Oryctolagus cuniculus: one gene and its partners. The main gene of each other region encodes a partner of the protein of the gene in region 2 in a complex. Links are inferred from orthologs where the notes say so. Each region holds a gene or a part of one and is shown on either strand. Other genes may lie near its edges.

The links.
Region 1: the proteins of RHO (region 2) and GRK1 are in contact, whole or in part, in a cryo-EM structure (PDB 7MT8), measured with the Bos taurus proteins. The link is inferred for Oryctolagus cuniculus from reciprocal best matches to the Homo sapiens genes RHO and GRK1. Residues at the interface, in NP_001014890.1 of Bos taurus: Lys66, Lys67, Arg69, Thr70, Arg135, Val137, Val138, Val139, Lys141, Ser144, Asn145, Phe146, Arg147, Phe148, Glu150, His152, Leu226, Thr229, Val230, Ala233, Gln236, Gln237, Glu239, Thr243, Ala246, Val250, Met257, Ile305, Tyr306, Met309; in NP_776598.1 of Bos taurus: Leu6, Glu7, Thr8, Val9, Val10, Ser13, Ala14, Ile16, Ala17, Ala18, Arg19, Gly20, Asp23, Ala24, Glu184, Asp185, Trp186, Phe187, Leu188, Asp189, Phe190, Val192, Arg195, Glu200, Gln205, Met206, Lys207, Lys221, Arg222, Thr256.
Region 3: the proteins of RHO (region 2) and GNAT3 are in contact, whole or in part, in a crystal structure (PDB 4A4M), measured with the Bos taurus proteins. The link is inferred for Oryctolagus cuniculus from reciprocal best matches to the Homo sapiens genes RHO and GNAT3. Residues at the interface, in NP_001014890.1 of Bos taurus: Leu72, Arg135, Val138, Val139, Lys141, Thr229, Val230, Ala233, Thr242, Thr243, Lys245, Ala246, Glu249, Val250, Asn310, Lys311, Gln312; in NP_001103452.1 of Bos taurus: Ile344, Asn347, Leu348, Lys349, Asp350, Cys351, Gly352, Leu353, Phe354.
Region 4: the proteins of RHO (region 2) and SAG are in contact, whole or in part, in a crystal structure (PDB 4PXF), measured with the Bos taurus proteins. The link is inferred for Oryctolagus cuniculus from reciprocal best matches to the Homo sapiens genes RHO and SAG. Residues at the interface, in NP_001014890.1 of Bos taurus: Arg135, Val138, Val139, Lys141, Leu226, Glu249, Val250, Met253, Met309, Asn310, Lys311, Gln312; in XP_010802144.1 of Bos taurus: Asp71, Ile72, Met75, Gly76, Leu77.
Region 5: the proteins of RHO (region 2) and GNAT1 are in contact, whole or in part, in a cryo-EM structure (PDB 6OYA), measured with the Bos taurus proteins. The link is inferred for Oryctolagus cuniculus from reciprocal best matches to the Homo sapiens genes RHO and GNAT1. Residues at the interface, in NP_001014890.1 of Bos taurus: Leu72, Arg135, Val138, Val139, Lys141, Ser144, Asn145, Phe146, Arg147, Val230, Ala233, Gln236, Gln237, Ser240, Thr242, Thr243, Lys245, Ala246, Glu249, Val250, Met253, Met257, Asn310, Lys311, Gln312; in NP_851365.1 of Bos taurus: Ala27, Arg28, Asp189, Leu190, Val312, Glu314, Tyr316, Asp333, Ala334, Asp337, Ile340, Lys341, Asn343, Leu344, Lys345, Asp346, Cys347, Gly348, Leu349, Phe350.

The regions. Positions count from the first base shown.
Region 1 is NC_091440.1:442,563-446,557, forward strand, and holds the start of GRK1 (rhodopsin kinase GRK1), read right to left. Parts: upstream 2,805-3,995; 5' UTR 2,146-2,804; coding exon 1,447-2,145; intron 124-1,446; coding exon 1-123. UniProt on the Homo sapiens protein: Retina-specific kinase involved in the signal turnoff via phosphorylation of rhodopsin (RHO), the G protein- coupled receptor that initiates the phototransduction cascade.
Region 2 is NC_091441.1:114,346,695-114,349,751, forward strand, and holds the end of RHO (rhodopsin), read right to left. Parts: intron 1,954-3,057; coding exon 1,788-1,953; intron 1,660-1,787; coding exon 1,420-1,659; intron 758-1,419; coding exon 647-757; 3' UTR 506-646; downstream 1-505. UniProt on the Homo sapiens protein: Photoreceptor required for image-forming vision at low light intensity. Required for photoreceptor cell viability after birth.
Region 3 is NC_091434.1:145,244,419-145,248,424, forward strand, and holds the start of GNAT3 (guanine nucleotide-binding protein G(t) subunit alpha-3), read right to left. Parts: upstream 2,808-4,006; 5' UTR 2,668-2,807; coding exon 2,550-2,667; intron 1-2,549. UniProt on the Homo sapiens protein: Guanine nucleotide-binding protein (G protein) alpha subunit playing a prominent role in bitter and sweet taste transduction as well as in umami (monosodium glutamate, monopotassium glutamate, and inosine monophosphate) taste transduction.
Region 4 is NC_091434.1:6,225,771-6,229,281, reverse strand, and holds part of SAG (S-arrestin), read left to right. Parts: intron 1-1,709; coding exon 1,710-1,847; intron 1,848-3,511. UniProt on the Homo sapiens protein: Binds to photoactivated, phosphorylated RHO and terminates RHO signaling via G-proteins by competing with G-proteins for the same binding site on RHO. May play a role in preventing light-dependent degeneration of retinal photoreceptor cells.
Region 5 is NC_091441.1:99,122,379-99,126,411, forward strand, and holds the start of GNAT1 (guanine nucleotide-binding protein G(t) subunit alpha-1), read right to left. Parts: upstream 2,807-4,033; 5' UTR 2,665-2,806; coding exon 2,559-2,664; intron 1,750-2,558; exon of another isoform or gene 1,576-1,749; intron 1,438-1,575; coding exon 1,395-1,437; intron 1,293-1,394; coding exon 1,151-1,292; intron 1,048-1,150; coding exon 890-1,047; intron 800-889; coding exon 671-799; intron 529-670; coding exon 399-528; intron 298-398; coding exon 144-297; intron 58-143; coding exon 1-57. UniProt on the Homo sapiens protein: Functions as a signal transducer for the rod photoreceptor RHO. Required for normal RHO-mediated light perception by the retina.

The DNA of each region.
Region 1 (3,995 bases), on a different chromosome or scaffold from region 2:
GTCGCCGCCGTTCATGATGGTCATCACCAGGCACAAGTCCGTCCTGGTTTCAAACGCGTAGGCCAAGGACACGATGAACCGGCTGTGCACTTTTGCTAGAATCTTCTTCTCCACCATGGCACCCTGAGAGGCAGACGCGGGAAGAGAACTCACGCCGGGCCCGAGGGCGGGAGGGCGCCATGGAGACCGGCGCGCAGGGAATCTGTTTCAAGCCAGACTGTCAACCCTTCCAGTCGCGTCCCGCGTGCCCGTCCGTCCACACAGGGCACTGGGGAGTCCTGCTCAGCCCAGCCAGGGGAGGCTCAGCCTGCCAGACTCTTGCCCCGCTCTCCATGCCTCTTCCCAAGCCACTGCAAACGTGACGTGCCACTCCCCGCGCTCGGGACGGTGCCTGGAGCCCGTGTGGGAGGGACGCCCTCCCTGCAGACGGCCAGCGGGCGTGCACTGACCTCACCTCGAATCCGACAGCAGCCACGGTCACTTCCACCGACACCCCAGCTAACCTCCGGCTCAGGGTCAAGGGCCGAGACACCGGAGGTGGCTGCTGTGCGGCCCCACCCATGCCAGGAGACTAAGCAGCTTTCCCTGATCCTGCCCAGACGGACATGGACACCAGCGACAGCAGGGGTCGAACAGGAGGGGCCCCACCACCCCGGTCCCTGGGAAACAGTGGCATTTGGGGAACAGCACTCCTGCACACCCTGAGGGTCCGGGATGCCGGGCGGACACAGCCCTGCCGTCCTCGTGTGCCTCTGTCGCAGCAAAAGCAGGGCCTTCAGCAGGGGCTTCCCGAGAGTGGGGCCAGGAGCCCAGGGGACAGCCCCCCGGAAAACGCTCTTCCCTTCCACTCACTCCGGGATCACAAGCTTGCGGCCCAAGGTACAGCGACCAGGTGGGACTGATGTTGCAGCCACGGCACTGCCGAGGCCCCGCTGCCCCCATGTACACGCCAGCCGGGGGCCCCTGCGAATCTCAGCAGGCTTCCCACCAAGATGGAGCCCCAGCCGGAGCCCCAGCCAGAACCTCAGCCAGTCCCCCCGACTGCCGGAGCCCCAGCACATCCCCCTGCCTGCCGGAGCCCCAGCCAGAACCTCAGCCAGTCCCCCCCACCTGCCGGAGCCCCAGCACATCCCCCCGCCTGCCGGAGCCCCAGCCGGAACCCCAGCCGGAACCTCAGGCAGTCCCCTCTGCCTGCCGGAGCCCCAGCCAGAAACTCAGCCAGAACCTCAGCCAGTCCCCCCGCCTGCCGGAGCCCCAGACGGAACCTCAGCCAGTCCCCCCGCCTGCCGGAGCCCCAGCACATCCCCCCGCCTGCCGGAGCCCCAGCCGGAACCCCAGCCAGTCCCCACCGCCTGCCGGAGCCCCAGCACATCCCCCCGCCTGCCGGAGCCCCAGCCGGAACCTCAGCCAGTCCCCTCCGCCTGCCCGCGGCTGCCTCCCACTCACCTGGTAGCCCTTCCTCTTCTTCAGCCGCTTCTTGTTCAGCTTCTTGCAGGCGTACATCTTGCCGGTGGCCTTCATCTGGCAGGCCGACACCTCCCCAAAGCCCCCTTTCCCCAGGACCCTGAAGTCCAGGAACCAGTCCTCCCCGATGGGCTGGGCCTCCAGCCACTTCCACTGCAGGAAGCGCAGGAAGTACAGGCTGTCCAGGTACTCCTGGAAGGGGGCCTGGCTCAGGTGTGCCAGGGTGGCCTGCAGCAGCGGCTGGAAGAGGCCGTCCTGGCTGGCCACGGGCCCCTCCTTCACCCTGGCCACCGTCCCCTCATCCAGGAAGCTGCAGAAGAGCTTGGCCTGGGGGTCCAGGTACTCGGCCAGGATGGCCCGGGCCTTCTGTGGCCGCAGGTCGTCGTCGGCCGTGTCGTAGTCCTCAATGTCCTTCCAGAGCTCCAGGGCCGGCACGTGCCTCTGGTCCGTCCCCAGGAACTGCTGGAAGAGCCGCTTGCCGATGGGCTGCTCCGAGCACAGGCTGTCGAACTCCAGGCTGAGGCCAGCCCGGAGACCCTCGCACTTGGACAGCGGGGGCAGCTTGAGCTTGGCCAGGTACTTCTTGTCCCGGGAGGATGGGGCGATGCTGCCATCGAAACTGCCCCGGGCGGCGATGAAGGCAGAGTTGGCCACCACCGTCTCCAAGGCTCCGAAATCCATCCTGGCGCTGACCTCCCGCCCACTTCAAGCACAAGGAGTCATCAGCTGAGGACTGACCCTCTGTCCTTGGCCTGTGGCCCGTTCCTGCCCTCCCAGGACGAGGGAGATGTCCTCTGAGGCGAGGATGCTGGCCACCTGCTGGGAAGCCCCTGCCACCCAGGGCTGACGCAGCACTGGCTAAATCCCAGTCAGGGTCACCGAGACACATGGGGTCACCGGCAGGTGCAGACAATCCCCTAAGCCGCTCCGAGGCGGATTAGACGGACCTTCAGCTCGGGGCCTGGCTTCGTTTTCCCCCAGGAAGGGCAAACCCCCAGGAGGAGCATGAGATTCATCCTGAGCTGACCTGTCCACCGCCCGGCCCCAGCAGCTGGGCTGGAACTGACCACTTCTGCAGAGAAAACTCACTGTGTGACGATGGCTGGTTGGTTTCCCCCATGATGCTCCATTTCTAGTTTTAAGAAAAATGCAAGTGAGAGGAAAACCAGCCAATAACAGGAATGTGGAGAACAGCTTCTGGGGGGGGGGGGTTCTGAAGGCGAGACCACCAGCTCCAAATTGCTTTTCTTCTTCTCGCCTGGGACTTGCAGAGAAGCAGCTTTGCTAAGGTGAAAGAAAGAACCAGGGAGAAGAGGAACCTGGGGTGACCCCAGGCTGAGGCCCACACAGAGCAAAGCAGGCAATGAGAACACAGAAGCCAGGGACACACCTGAGCCATACCTGAGCCACACCTGAGATACCTGGGCCACACACCCAGGACACAGCAGAGGCACATCTGGGGCACCACTGAGCCATCTGGAACACGGCTGGGGCACACCTGAGCACCTGGGCTACACCTGAGACACACCTGGGGCACACGTGAGACACCTGGGCCACGGCTGGGGCACACCTGGGGCACACGTGAGACACCTGGGCCACGGCTGGGGCACACCTGGAGCACACCTGGGGCACACATGAGACACCTGGGCCATGGCTGGGGCACACCTGGAGCATACCTGGGGCACACGTGAGACACCTGGGCCATGGCTGGGGCACACCTGGAGCACACCTGGGGCACCTGGAACACACATGAGACACACCTGAGCACCTGGGCCACTCCTGAGACACACCTGGGGCACACGTGAGACACGCCTGGGGCACACATGAGGCACACCTGGAGAACACCTGGAGCACACATGAGACACCCAGGACACGGCTGGGGCACACCTGGAGCACACGTGAGAAACCTGGGCCACGGCTGGGGCACACCTGGGGCACACGTGAGACACCTGGGCCACGGCTGGGGCACACCTGGAGCACACCTGGGGCACCTGGAACACAGCTGAGGCACACCTGAGCACCTGGGCCACTCCTGAGACACACCTGGGGCACACGTGAGACACGCCTGGGGCACACATGAGACACACCTGGAGAACACCTGGAGCACACGTGAGACACCCAGGACACGGCTGGGGCACACCTGAGCACCTGGGCCACTCCTGAGACACACCTGGGGCACACCCAGGGGCGGCAGAACCACCAGGAATGCCGGCTCCATGAGGGACAGCCTTGTCTGCCTTGTTCGGCGTCCGTGGAGCTCAGTGACCATACAGGGGAGGGTGGCAGGGAGGTGCAGGGGCTGCAGGGGCTGGGAGGCAGCTCAGCACTCCCCAGCATGCCGAGCCAGGGTCCAGGGCACAGTGCAGTCCCCGCCAGTCCAGGAGGAAGTGGGTTCTGCAGATGGACTTGGGCTCCTCCGCAGTGGCCAATCAGGCAGAAATGAGAACCCGCAGACTGAGTCCACCGCAGCCTCCCAACAAGCACAGTGGCATGCAGGCTGGTGAGCAAATATTTGAGGTGGACAACACCCC
Region 2 (3,057 bases):
AGCGCTTCAGCTCACACGGGCACGCACACACACACACATACACACACAGCAGCCAGGAGGCCGGGCAGGGCGTGAGGATTCCCATTTTATGGGGGAAGCAAGTGGGACCCCAGGGAGAGAGATACAACTTATGCAACTCGTCAGCCAGGTGCGAGCTGCTTCCGCCAAGGGAGCTGGAGACAGCGGGTGTGTTGTCCCGGCCCACTCGTCCCTTCATTCATTCCTCCACTCACTCCTTCATCCATTCTGTCCTTCCTCCATCTAGCATTTATTAAGCACCTACTGTGTGCCCCGTTCTGTGCTAGATTCTGAGCCCTAAGCTGGGACACTTTTCCAGAGAGCAAGAGTTCTTTTGTTCCTGAGAGATGAGTTAGGGGAGGAGGGAAACAGGCAGGTCCCATGGGCCCCTGGGAACCTGGGACTCCAGGTCGGGGTCTCGGTGGGTGCCTCGTCTTGGGCTGCCCCGCTGAGAGGGGAGCATCATTTTTCTCATTATTTTTTTTTTCTTTAGGGGAAAACAACCCTCTCACGGAGCCTGCGAAACTTGGTTCTGACAGGCGCCGCTCCTGGTGGGGTGGCTGTGGCTGGGGGTGGGGTGTGAGGGATGGGAGACTCCTACAGTCGGCCACGGAGTCCCTGGCAGCGCTTAGGCCGGGGCCACCTGGCTGGTCTCCGTCTTGGAAGCGGTGGCAGAGGCCTCGTCGTCACCCAGTGGGTTCTTGCCGCAGCAGATGGTGGTGAGCATGCAGTTCCGGAACTGGAAGGCAAGAGGCATGGGTCAGGCTGCAAGGCCGCGCCGTGTGGAGCCGGGGTGGCGTGGTCAGCGAGACCTGCCTCCGCGCCCTTCCCCGCTCGGCCCTCTCGCACCAGTCTGGGTCTCTGGGGGCAACCTTGCATCTACATCTTGCCCCCAGAGATGCCAGCGGCCAACCCCAGGGGCTCGGCTACGGAGGACACTGCGGGGCGCCCTCTGAGTCCGGGATTCTGCCGTTTCTAAGCTTGAGGCCGCCAAAGCCCAAAGAAGGGAATGAAGCTGTCCAAGGTCATGCAGGACCCGATCTGCCTGACTCGAGGGGCCATGGGTCCCCCACTCATGGCTTCCGCAGATAAGCCACTGGCTTCTAGCCTTTCAGCTCCTTGCTAAGCTTTCCGGAGACCAGCACCATCTTACCCCCAGGCTCAGGTCACGTGAGCCTTAAAGTAGAGTCCAGAACCAGGGTGAGGGGTGCTTCTCACACATGAGCAAGCACTGGCCCTCCCCCCACCCCCAACAAGGTCCTGGGCCTCCGCCAGGCCAGCCAGGCAGAATCTCAAAGGCGGGGCCCAACAACCTGCCCTTCTCATAAGCTCCCAGCTGAAGGGGGTGTGGCCTCCAGGAGCCCCGGGGGAGGCCCCCTCCCCTCCCCAGCCTGCAGGCACCTGCTTGTTCATCATGATGTAGATGACAGGGTTGTAGATGGAGGAACTCTTGGCGAAGAACGCCGGGATGGTCATGAAGATGGGCCCGAAGTTGGAGCCCTGGTGGGTGAAGATGTAGAACGCCACGCTGGCGTAGGGCACCCAGCAGATCAGGAAGGCGATGACCATGATGATGACCATGCGGGTCACTTCCTTCTCTGCCTTCTGCGTGGTGGCCGACTCCTGCTGCTGGGCAGCTGCCTGCAGGGACACAAGGCCGGTGTCTGGGCTGCGGTGCCCAGCACCTGTCCCCAGCACCCAGCTAGGGGCCCTGGAGGGCAGAGGAGGAGACTAGACCGCCTGCGGGGCAAGGCCAGCCCCGACCGTACCTCCTTGACGGTAAAGACGAGCTGCCCGTAGCAGAAGAAGATGATGATCAAAGGGATGGTGAAGTGGACCACGAACATATAGATGACGAACGACTCGTTGTTGACCTCGGGCTTGAGCGTGTAGTAGTCGATTCCGCACGAGCACTGCATGCCCTCAGGGATGTACCTGAGCGTGGGGCGGGGCTCATCAGGGAGACTGCCCACCCCCCACAGAGGGGCTTGGGATTGGCCCAGCCGATGCACTGGCTGGTCACTAGCCCCTCTCCCGGCCCCCCTTCTCCCCACTCCCTGTAAACAGACTGACTTGGCCCGAGGGTGGGATGATTTCTGGGAAACCGTGTTGTGGTGGGCCTGGCGGCCTGGTGGCTCTGTCACCAGGCGAGACCGCCCAGCCTCCCCGCACTGTTGTGTGCCCGCCCCAACATCTCCCTGCTGCCTCAACTGCCTGGCATCTCTTCACAGCCCCTGCCGCTAGTGCCCTTGGACGTTGGCGGAGAGGAGGGGAAAGCCCCCAGCTCCGCTTTCCAGGCAGGTTGGACAACCCAGGTCTGCAAGCCACAGGGGAGCAGCATGTTCTAGGCCTAAGAGAGCCACCCGGGGATTCTAAGGAAACAAGAGGTGCCTGGGGCATGTCGCTGGTGACATTGGACTGGCCTCTGAAAACCCCGAGCACACAGCGTCCACACTAACAGGCAGTGACGGGCACCTACCAGGAGAAGATGGAGAAAGAGGCCAGGGCAGGGAGGGCTCGAATTCAGCCAGGGCCTGGAAGGGGACCCCAGGCCGAAGAAAGGAGGGTGGGATGTGGAGCTGTCCCCTAAGCAGCCAGTATGGCCATCTATGCCACCTTCCTTTATCTTAACCTACTTGGGAGACTGGCTGGGGGTTGGGTATGACCCTGTCCCCAGGAGCCGCAGTGGCACCAACTCTGGGGTTACTCCAAAAAGTGCATGGAACGTGGAATGAAAAAAATAGTAGTTTGGGGCCAGCACTGTGGTACAGCAGATTAACAAGCTGCTTGGAATGCCAGCATCCCATATGGGTGCCGGTTCAAGTCCTGCTACTCCACTTCTTTTTTTTTTTTTTTTTTTTTTAAAGGCAGAGTTACAGAGAGAGATCTTTTTTTTTTTTTTTGACAGGCAGAGTGGACAGTGAGAGAGAGAGACAGAGAGAAAGGTCTTCCTTTGCCGTTGGTTCACTCTCCAATGGCCGCCGCGGCCGGCGCGCTGCGGCCGGCGCACCGCGCTGATCCGATGGCAGGAGCCAGGAG
Region 3 (4,006 bases), on a different chromosome or scaffold from region 2:
CCTAAAAGATGCCATAAGAAAGGAACCTGTGCAAGAGGGTCTTTTATTTGGAAAGTAGCAATCTGATAGCTCTTTGGAGTCAGTGAAATCTTGTGTATACACATTGAGTTTAGAAAGCTGGTGTGTTGTGTCTAAGCACCCATTCATCAGGTAATGAGGATCACTGTAAAGAATGTATTGTGCTGAAGCTGTTTCTAGATTTTTCATTTTTGTAAATGTAGGACCATATTCAGAAATTGATAACTACCAAGATTAAATTGATTTGTCCTATGAGACATACACTCACTGGCAGACTTAATAACTGGTGTTTCGACCACAATGGTGAGACAGGACATTGTTTCAATAGTGGGGCAGATTAAATAGATTCCATTGGTGAGGTGACTTGAGTGTGGGAGTGGAAAGGTTCAGATATACATTTATGGCCAAATTGGAACTAAAAATGAGAGTGTAGAGAGCATTAGTTCAAGTCCAAAATGACAATGAAGCAGAATCACTGAAGGCCTTCGCTGTTTTGAATCTCATGATTGAATCATTATCACACATGGACGTCAAGTAGAGTCCAGAAGGGAAAATATTTGGCTGAAATAGGAAATATTAAAGAGGATTTGATTCATTTTGTATTCGGGAAACATGTGACTGAGAGTTTTAACACATATATTGTTGGAACCAAAAAAATGTAAGCGTACTATATGATAATGTTGAAACTGGATATACAAAACAGTGATCATCTTGGGAAAGTAGAACATATAGAACATATATGATTCTTCTAGATCTCTGGTACAATGTTGCTCTTTCTTCTTGTCAAAACCTACCACCTAAATCGAAAGTAGTTGGTGTGGTTCTTGCTTCATCTGACAGTATTTTCTATAATAAATTGGGCCAACATCATTCGCTGCAAATTTTCTGATTCTGGAAGCCCAGATAAATATTCTGAATCTCAATCCAAAGTTTCAGGAAAAAATCCAGTTCCTTTATCATTACACTGCATATTTTTGACTCAGTTTTTGGCTATGCATTATGTATTTTGGGTTATGTGTACATATTCTTTAACCTATTCTCTCCACAATCAAATCTCCAAGGGACCAGCTATTCTAATATACTCATCTCCAGAGTCATTGCTTTGGGCATATTTAATGATATTTTCCTTTGAATTGTAGCATTAGCCTCCCTACTTTTTGGATTTCTATTTTTATTTTTATGAAATAATAAGGAAAATGTAAAAAGGAAGATAATTAGAATATGAGAATCCATGTTATTCTTGCAAAATTTTGTTCAAACACAAGAATTCTTAATGTATTTTCGCACCACTCTTGAACCACTGTTCTTAGTATAAAAGAATATAAAAGGCTCTTGTAGATGTGCTTGGCTTTGCCTCATGCCTTTTGTTTGTTTTATCTATATCTACTTTATTTTCACTCTTGATCAGAGCCTTTGAGACTTCTCTGAAGTGTTAAAGAAAGCACATTTGCTGATTCTGTAAGCTCTGATCCCAATATCTTTCTAAGTCCCTAAACTCCAGCTGGGAGCCTACAAATGCTAGGGGCATGTGTGCGGCCACAGGACCTGTGTATCAACAGGAGAACATACCCTTTCCTTTGAGGAGCAAGTGCTGGGGATTCTACAGTTGTTCATTTTTGCCACTGGGAGCAAATTGGCATAGCTAAGGAGCACTCAGAAATGGGGCAATTTGTTGTGTGAGATTCACAACTCTGAAATAAAATGAAGTGCTTTTGTGTATATGTATAACTAAGATCAGGGAAAATACACTATTCTAATTTAATTAAAGTTTGTGCTTTCTGCAAGAATTTATTTTATTGCAAAAGCATGCCTGTTTTAGTACCACGGCAGGTTAAATGTTTTATGAAAATGTTTAGCATTCTGGTTAGTTTGATTCTTTTGACTACTTGATCACTTATTGAACTTATAGTTGTGGTAAAACAGAAGGAAAAAAATAGAAAAGACAATTCCTGAATAGGATAACTATTATAAATGCTGTAGAAGGATTTAAATGGAGTATTTGTCACGAGTACATATAATATCACAGGCAGCACTTGGGAGTCTGAATCATGTTATTACCATAAATAAAGGTACTTTATGAATACTATCTAAGTAACTTGAGACTTATTGATTTTACCATCACAAGTAAATAAACAACATATTAACTTTGATGTAAAACAATGGAGCATTTCTGCTCAAACAAATAATACAGTTCTTTATAACATAATTAGAGAGCTGTTTTCAGTATTAGAAAATGGCATTCAGGGAATGATCAGGGTGCAATAAAATAACAAATATATAATGTTTCTTTTTACTAAGAGTAAATCATATTGTTGACAGAGAAATTGAGTCATCTAGTAAATATTCATCTCTTTCCTTAATAAAAATGTAATGAAATAATAAACAGAAAATTATTATGAAATATTTATAAAGTGCACATTTTCATAATAAATCTTCACAGTAATACATTTGAAATTAAACTTTGAAGAAAGTAAACACACAGTTGAAGGAAAACAGATTTTTGAAAGCAAAAATTAAAAAGAACCTGTTACCTAATAGTAGCAACTTTACAGTTCGTGCATCTCGCTCAGCATCTTCTTGGAGCTTTTTCTCCAGTTCCTTGGATCTTTTGGCTGACTCCTTGCTCTCTGAGCTAATTCCACTTCCCATTCTGCAGCGTTAAGATACTTGTGGCTTTATTTGCTCAAAGTTTTTCTAATGTAGAGCACAGCTCTGGCCTGGACGCAGGATGCCAGAGTAATGTCTGCCGAGGTACCCAACAGCCCATTCCCTCCGTCATAAAATTCTGCTTTGACTAAGAGGATGCTCTCTGATCTGTCACCTGATCCAGGACTGAAACCATCCAGCCATGCTGGATCCTGAAGAGGAAATTAATTATGCTTCCAAATTAAATGGTAACTTCTGGCACATCTTCACAAACATGAAGATCTTCCTTAGCAAGAGCCTAAGATAACGTAGGACGTTGTAAAAAATCTACACAATCAATATGACCAGCAGTGAGCAATCAAATCATTCATTCTCACTGAAAGTCGATGGTGCTTGTGTCTTCAGATATTTGGCTCTTAAGATTCTTCATAAGCACTCCTATATCATAATCAGAATACTTTTGTGAAATTATCCAAATTTTGTGGTCTTCCTATGTGTGAATTATAACTTAAAATCCTTGGGAATGTCTTACAATCTAACAGTGAATTAGAAAACTCCATTCTTAGAACAATGGGAAAAATACATATAGTTCTTTTATTCATAGATATTGTATTATTACAAACATAGAATTCAACACACAATTTTCTGAAATGATTGCTTTTAATCTCATGGGATCCATTTCTATAAATTGAGCTTTTACTGCCTGTGAGAAAGTCAATCCGTCAACACTAATTGAGGGCCCACTTTGTGTAGACACCCAAATGTGTTCTATGCAGGCAGCACATTAACTCTTTGGGGCCATTAGGCAACAGCTGCAGTGCTGGAAGGATTGGTATTGATTTGGTACCCAGGGAATAAAAGCCAGTGTGCTTTGAAACAGTGGGTAATTTGGCTCATCCTGAAAAGTAACAACCATAAACACATCTAAATATGTATTATAGTTTTCAACCACCCCAGCAGATATCACATACTCCCTGAAAATCTGCAGGTTTGTGGGCAAATATTATATTGCACAGGTTTTTTAAAAAGTTGAAATTCATTTTTTATTTTATTTATATGTACCATAAAACACATATTAGATAGAAAATCACCATTTTCCTTATAAACAAACAGATTTGGTTACCTGTGGGAGAGATAAGTCTTTCAATGTGCATTTTAGGATTTGTGAAGGTGCTGAACTACAAAATGCTAAAATACAGCCAGGCCATCAAGCTGTCAGTACTGTGCTTGTGGGATCATGTGCAAAGTTTGAACAGGTGGGTTTTTGCATGTTCATACAATAAGGAAATAGGCTGCCAGATTAAATACATATTCCTGCTTTGTTTACTTTTCCATATTTAAA
Region 4 (3,511 bases), on a different chromosome or scaffold from region 2:
CACCCCGTTTTAAAAAATTTACTTATTTGAAAGGCAGAGCACCAGAGAGAGAGAGAGAGAGAGAGAGAGAGAAATTTTCCATCTACTGGTTCACTCCCCAGATGGCCACGATAACTAGATCTGAGCCAGGCTGAAGCCAGGAGCCTGGAACTCCATCTGGGTCTCCTTCCATGGGTGACAGGGGCCTAAGCACATGGACCATTATCTACTGCCTTCCCAGGTGCATGGACAAGGATGGAGCAAAATTGAACAACTGGCACGCCAAGAGGCGATACTGGCATCTCAAGTCGCGGCTTAACCTGCTGTTCCACAATGCTGTCTCCGCATGGCCCTCTTTTAAGTTCTTGGGTGTGTTTGGGGCCAAATGATTCCCAGGAAACTGAAAACCATGCTAAGATCCCCCCACCCCGATCCCCGGCCAGACTTGAGGGGTGACTAGGAGCTGGGCCAGAGCATGCTAGGGAATGTCAGATGAGAGGTCACTCAGAAGGCTGCAGAGCACAACCTGTTGTCCCAGAACCCCACGGTTCCCAAGATGGGCAAGGCCTGCTGCAAACCAGCTGCCACCGAGCACCCAGTCCCAGGGCCGTGGCCCGCTCTTCGGACGAGCTCTGCTGCACGAAAGGCCGGGATCCAGTCCCACCTCCAGGGACCCCTTCCTCCTCCAGTCACCTTTAAACGCAATGTCTGCTTTCGCCAGTGCTTCTGCGCAGTCCAGCTCGTTAAGAGCACAGATGAGAGGATGTGGGCTACCTTGGGCTCCAGCAAAGCTCTGTAAAGAGCTTCCTGTACGCACTGGAGGCAGGATAAACCACAGCTGCTTCGGCGCCTGGGGAGGTCCACGAGGGAAGTCCTTCCCCAGGGAGGCAGTACAAGCTTCCCGCTGTCCGGGAACTGGCTCAGGATGCTGCTCCGGCCGTGTGTGCTGGCCCGCCCCACCTTCTGGCCCGGACAGAGGAGGCAGGGTGTGGTGCGCACAGGCTCTGCAGGGAGAGCCCACACAGCTGTGCGGCCGAGGATGAGCTGCAAGGCTGAGAGGGTGGGCCTGAGCCTCTGGCCTTGACGTGGTGCGTGCATGGATGGGGGGGCCCACTCTCCGTCAGACCTGGCTTCCTGACCCTGGAGATGCTGCCAGACCTGGGGGAGCCCACGCCCATCCCTACCCCCACTAAGGCCCAGGCTCCCTGCCCCCTCTCTCTGTTGTTGGGGAACCCGCAGCCTGCTGAGTGATAGAGGAGATGTGGGGGAGAGTGTGTGCCGCTTTGAGGTGCACACAGGAAGGTCTCCGCCTCACCCTCCTGGGGACCACTCTGATCCCCCAAGAGCAACCGTATTCAGCCCCTGGAGACTCCAGCCTGGGCTTGTTGCTGGCACCCACCAGAAGGCTCTGCAGCCCACTGTGCAGCTCACGACGTCTCAGAGGCTGGCTGTGGCCTCTGGCCTTGCGTGATTGGTTTCAGCCACAGAACACTGTAGACATTCAGTAACCCAGAGCAGGCCAAGAGGCCTGAGGACGCTGCTGGCCTGCCCTGAGGACTCGCGGACGCTGTCTGCTCCACTCCAGGTGGTCCCAAGGCCCCTGATTCCTCTCCCCAGGAAGCCGAGAACGGAACTCGGAGCTTGGAAAAAGCCCCACGGCAAACCAAGTCTCAGAGAGTCGCCGGCGGCTTTTGTGGTTATCAGTCTCCTGTCTGTTCTTCTTCCTGCAGAGACAAAATACTGCCAAGCAACGCCCTGACCAAGACGCTGACGCTGGTGCCCTTGCTGGCCAACAACCGAGAGAGAAGGGGCCTGGCCCTGGACGGGAAGATCAAGCACGAGGACACCAACCTCGCCTCCAGCACCATGTGAGTCCTCGGGCCACCGATGGCCGGGGGCCTGCTCCAGCCAGGCTGGCCGGCTCCGCCCCACTCATCTCCTCACCCTGTGGGCTCACAGGCACACCAGCAGGGCCCCACTCCCGCCCCTGGAACGATGAGGTGTCACACCTGTGGGCTCTGGACGCCACCTTGCCCTGTGCCAATCCCCACTCTGCTGGCTTCCCTCTGGCAGCTCCGGGAAGCTTTGTTCTCCCTTCCACGAAGTGGGGCTGATGGTAGTGCCGATCGCACAATGTGGTGGAAGGGCCAAGGAGCTGCTCCCCAGGCGCTGGCCGCGGCTTTTCTACCACATCGACAGCTGGCATGGTGCCCTGCGTACATAAACTGGGTCATGCAGTTGGCTTCATTCATTCGTTTCCATCAGGAAGGGGAAGGGGGGCAGAGATTAGTCCAGGGAAGATAAACACGGACCTGCGGCTGGGTTCCGGTAGCAGAGCTGGCAAAGGCCGTGCCATGGAGCTCTGAAGTGGGCATCCATGGCTGCTGTTCCCCGCCACCCTGTCAGGCTCCCGTTCACGTGGCAGAGCTGGGGACCCTGAGGGTTCAGGGAAGGAGCCGAGACCCGGGCTCAAAGCCTGCTTGTCCCCCTCTCCCTGGTGACGAGCTGAGGGCTCCCTCCATGGCCCCAGATGACCACCTCTGAGTCTGGTGTGTTTGACTCTGATGACCCCTAGCTCAGTAGCTCACATTCTGCGAGACCAAGGGTGGGGGACGGAAAGCAGGTGAGAGCCAGAGGACTTTCTGGGGACAATCTGCAGGCCATCGTGGTGGGTTCTTGAGCAACGTTTGAGAAGCCGAGAAGAGCGAATGTCAGGGACGCTGACCCCGGGATAAGCTTGTTCAGGGCGGAACCATCCCAACGCGGCGCTGCAGAAGTGCTGCCTGGCTTATGCCCCCGGCTACAGGCCTGTGTGCGCCTCCACACCTTGTGAGAGAGGGGTGTTTATGCTCACTTATGGATCCGGAAGTTGAGGTTGAGCCAGAATGAGGGGCTTACCCAAAGTCACCGGGTCAGTTAGTGGTGGAGAAAAGGTGGCCCCTCCCCAAGTTTCCCACTCTAGGAGGGTGGGGGGCAAGCTCCCTCGGCATCTCAGGCTCATGACAAAGCAGGTCCTGTCCCCAGCCGTTAGGCCCCATTCAGCACAGGTAGCGTCAGCCCCAGGAGAGGGTGGGCTCTCACACCTGCTCCCCTACTTCTGCCTTTGCTGACAACCTCTGTCTACCAAGCACTTGGCCACCGCCCACAATTCCACATGAAGCAATTTCGCCCTCTGATAGGGCTCTCCAGGGTTCTGTGAGCTGCTGGTGGTTCACTGTGCTCTCACTTGGCACGGGCGTGGTGCTGGGTGGTGGGCACATGGAGCTGTCGGGGACAGTCAAGGTCCATCATGATCCCCTTTAACCAGGGCTCTGTGTACCGTGTCTGTGAACAGAGTCCAGGGAAGCGAGGCCCAGTGCTACCTGGCAGGTGTCTGGGAAGGCATCACAAGGCAGAGGTGGGGAGGGGGCTTCCACTTGAGGCCTTAGGGGCAAGAGACAAAGAGGAGAACATTGTGGAGCAGGTGAGTGTTTGGCAAGGTTGGCACATGGGGTTCCTGGGGCAGAATCAGTATGAGATAGCAAAGGCAGGC
Region 5 (4,033 bases), about 15 Mb from region 2:
TGAGCTCCAGGAACTGCACCTTGATGTAGTTGCCCGCGTCCTCGTAGGTGTTGGGCCCTGTGGAGAGCGCGCGGGTCTCACTCCCGGCCCGGACCGCGGGCCCTGGACGCCGCCCAGAGGCCGCCCCGCGCCGCGCCGCGCACCGTCGTAGTCCGGGAAGCAGATGCTGAGGTGGGCCTTCTTGATCTTCTCGGAGAAGACGTCCTTCTTGTTCAGGAAGAGCACGATGGACGTGGTGGCGAAGTAGCGGTGGTTACAGATGCTGTTGAACAGGTGCAGGCTCTCGTGCATGCGGTTCTGCGGGGGGCGGGGCGGGCAGCGGCTGTCGGGCACCGGGGGGGCCGGCGGCGGCCTCCGCGCTGCCCCCGCGTCGGCCCCGGGCCCCGCCGGGCACTCACCACCTCGTCGTCCTCCACCAGCACCATGTCGTAGGCGCTGAGCGCCGCGATGAAGATGATGCAGGTCACGCCCTCGAAGCAATGGATCCACTTCTTGCGCTCCGAGCGCTGCCCGCCCACGTCGAACATCCTGCGGGGCAACAGCGCCGGCGGCGGCGGGAGCCTGAGCCCGCGCCTCGGCGCCCCGGGGGCCGCGCGCGCACCGCCGCCCCCGCCCCGCGCCTCCCAGCGCCGCCCGGTGCCCCGCGCTCCGCGCAGCCGCGCCGTCGTACCGGAAGTTGAGGTCCTTGAAGGAGAACTGTGTCTCGATGATGCCGGTGGTCTTGACTCGCGAGCGCAGCACGTCCTGCTCGGTGGGCACGTAGCCCGGGGTCACCAGGCGCTCCAGGTCCGAGAGGTAGCTGCGGAGAGCCGGCGTGTGGGCGCGCGGGCGGCGCGGCGCCCCAGGGCAGGGCCCGCCCGTGCCCGCGCCCCGAGCCGCCCGCGCTCACTAGCCCGCCGAGTCGTTGAGCTGGTACTCGGAGGCGCGCTCGAAGCAGGCCTGGATACCCGAGTCCTTCCACAGCCGCTGGATGATGTCCGACATCTCCTTGGGCATCGTGCCTTCCTCGATGGTGTCTGCCATGTGCATCAGCTTGCGGGCGTCGTCCTGCGGGCAGGGCGCGAGGCGTCGGTGGCCACCAGGGCCCCGCCGCGCGCGCCCCGAGCCCCCCACCCCCACCCAAGTCCCGCTCCGCCCGTTCCCAGCGCACCTGGCGCGCAGAGTCTCCGTACTGGATGTTGAGTGTGGTCATGGCGCGCACGATGGCCAAGATGGACTGTAGCGTATTGCCATAGATGATGGCGATGAACTCCAGGCACTCTTCCAGAGAGTACCCGTCCTGGTGGATAATCCTGTGGCCAGGGCGAGCAGGGTCAGCGGCCTGTGGGGCCGGCGGTGAGGCGCACGCGCGCCCATCCCCACCGCGGGACCCCAGGCCGGGCGAGGGCACTCACTTCATCTGCTTGACGATGGTGCTCTTCCCGGACTCACCAGCACCTGAAAGGGAGGCCATGCCTCAGAGCAGCGCCCAGTGTCCCCTGGTCCCGACGCCGAGCGTGGGGTGGACGGGTGGACCTGCCGGCCGACCCCAGTCACCCCGACCCGCCCCCCCCGCCCCGATACAGAGTCAAGTACCGACGCCCTGGTGGAAGGCCGCATGTGGATGTCAGGAAAGTGAGCAAAAGAGGCCTACGAGGGGGACCGGTGACGACCACTGTGCGCGCGGGTCTCTGAGACCTGCCGCCTGTAGTATGCTGAGACCAAGCTAATCCTGGAGCGCCACCTTGTGGGCATCTCTGGTGCTGCCCGCGCGGGATAATTTGAGCCGGGTCACCCCCTGTTTTTCTCCACAAGGAAGGTGGGCGGGCTCCAAGAGGCTCAGAGAGAATTAGCGCCTTTGGGTGGGAGAGAGGACAGAGCTGACATCCTTTCTGATCCTGTCCCCGCGAGGGCCTTGGACATAGTTAATGGGATTTCCGGCTTAGCCTCTCTGCCTCCTCTAACCCGGCTTGGTCTCTACGGATACCTCCAGCTTGACTGGGTGGAGTCTGCCCCTTTCTCTTAATGCAGGTCCTTTCCCTTGGTGGTGGTGGTGGGGGATTGGCAGTGGCCTTGGGGCAGGCCTGGATCAGTCCCACCTCCCCTCGCTACACTATCCATGGAACCATGGCCTAGGCTTTGTTAACCTTCCACACCCCTCCACCTGCTTTGCCCTGGCACCTGGGGACCATTTTTGTAAATCCAGATGGTCCTGGAGTCACCCTACTCCCTGGGGGATGGTGGCCTCCTTCCCAAGGGAGCAGCTGGATGTGGGGCTCCCAGTGAGGCCCCTAGTTCCTGAGCTCTGCCCAGCAGGCCCACCAAACCCAAGGCTGGAGTGTGAGGGCGCAGGCAGGGACCAGAGTGTGCCTTCTGCACACACTGGGTCAGAGTGAACTTGGCACACACCCCTGGGGAGTGGCAACTTCCCGAGGCGGGGCCCTCTGGAGAGGTTCTCCATGGATGCCCAGCCTCCGGGAATGCGTGGCCAGGGTTCCTGCCCTGTGCCCTGCCCTGGCCAGGGTTCCTGCTCTGTGCCCAGGCCACCACCCCACCATTGATGCCCCGCGGGGCCCTACCCAGCAGCAGCAGCTTCACCGTCCGAGCATCCTTCTCCGCGTCCTCTTTCAACTTCTTCTCCAGCTCCCTGGAGTGCTTCTCCTCGGCACTGGCCCCGGCCCCCATGTTCCAACAACAGCTGAGGGCACAGAGTGGGCAGGCAGTTCTTCTGGACGCAGGGGGTCCTAAGAGCCAGGCTCAGGCCAGCCTCTGGCCTCCCCTGCTGCCTTTCTGGTCCTGGGACTGGCAATCAAATGGCTCTCTGCAGACTTGTGGGGGCCCTGGGAGGGGGGGCTGCTTAGTGGGATTTGGGGGCTAGGAGTGCCCAAGAGCCAATCAGAGACAAGGACAGGTGAATCCAGCTCAGTCCCCCAACCTTTCTAATCAGGCTGGCGTGGCCCCAATCCTTGCACCGCTGACTCTGCACCCCTGTGTCCCCTCCCCAGCCCTCCAGGAAGGATCCTAGACACGGCCCTGCCTCCACCCCAGAGCAAGGAGACACCTTCAAGAGGGTTGGCGCTCCAAAAGGGAAGCACGGGTCCTCCAGCCCTGGGGGCAGGGAGGCAGAAGCAGGCGTGGGGCACCTACACCTGCCCAGCAGAGGCTCAAAGGGCCACTCAGCAGGTGGTGCGTGTGGAGAGCCAGGTGGCTTGGAGCAGAGCCCCGCAGGGAGTTAGGAGGAGGAAGGGAAGCACTGCACTGCCCCACAGAGGGCAGGACCTCCGCACACGTCCATGCGTCCGCCGGACTCTGCTGCACAAGCCTGGTCGCGTGTGGCTCCATGCAAGGCAACGACACGACATGTACACTCATGGGTGCATGTGTGCACGTCCCATGCCTGTGTGAAGTGCATGGGCTCTTCCACGTGAGTGTCCTGTGCCTGCCAGTACATGGATGTGCATGTGTGTGGCGGCACCTGTGTGCGTCTCTTCAGGTGCAAAGGTATCCTGTGGGTTCACGCGTGTGGTGCATGCCTACGCGAATGCCAAGGAGCCTGTGTGTGCTGTTTACAGGGGCACACAGTGCCTATGCCTACGCCTGCGTGTGCATTTGGACACAACAGTCTCAGACCTGCAGAGGTGGCGGGGCCTGTGGTCACACGGGGACACAGAATCCCGGAGCAGGTCTGGTGCTGCCCTGCTGTCTCCTGTCGGCACTTTGGGTGCCCTGTTGAGCACTTCAGGCTGGACACTCCCCGACAGCCATCAGGAAACCCCAATGTAGGCCTCAAGGGCCCCCCCAGAGGCCCTGAGCCCCCTGGCTGGCCTCTCCCTCTGGAAGCTGCCTGCCTGTTGGGACTCAACTGGCGCAGAGACCACGAGGGGGTGCCAGGGCCCCAGACACGGAGCCCTGGGGGCTGTCCCCGAACAGGAAGTGGCTCTTGTGTCCACACCCACCTTGGTGGGTGAGCGGGGATGTGGCCGGGAAATGATTTAATTTGTGCCAATTTCATCCTCAGCTCCATCCGCACTCCCAGGTCCTGGAAGCCCAACCT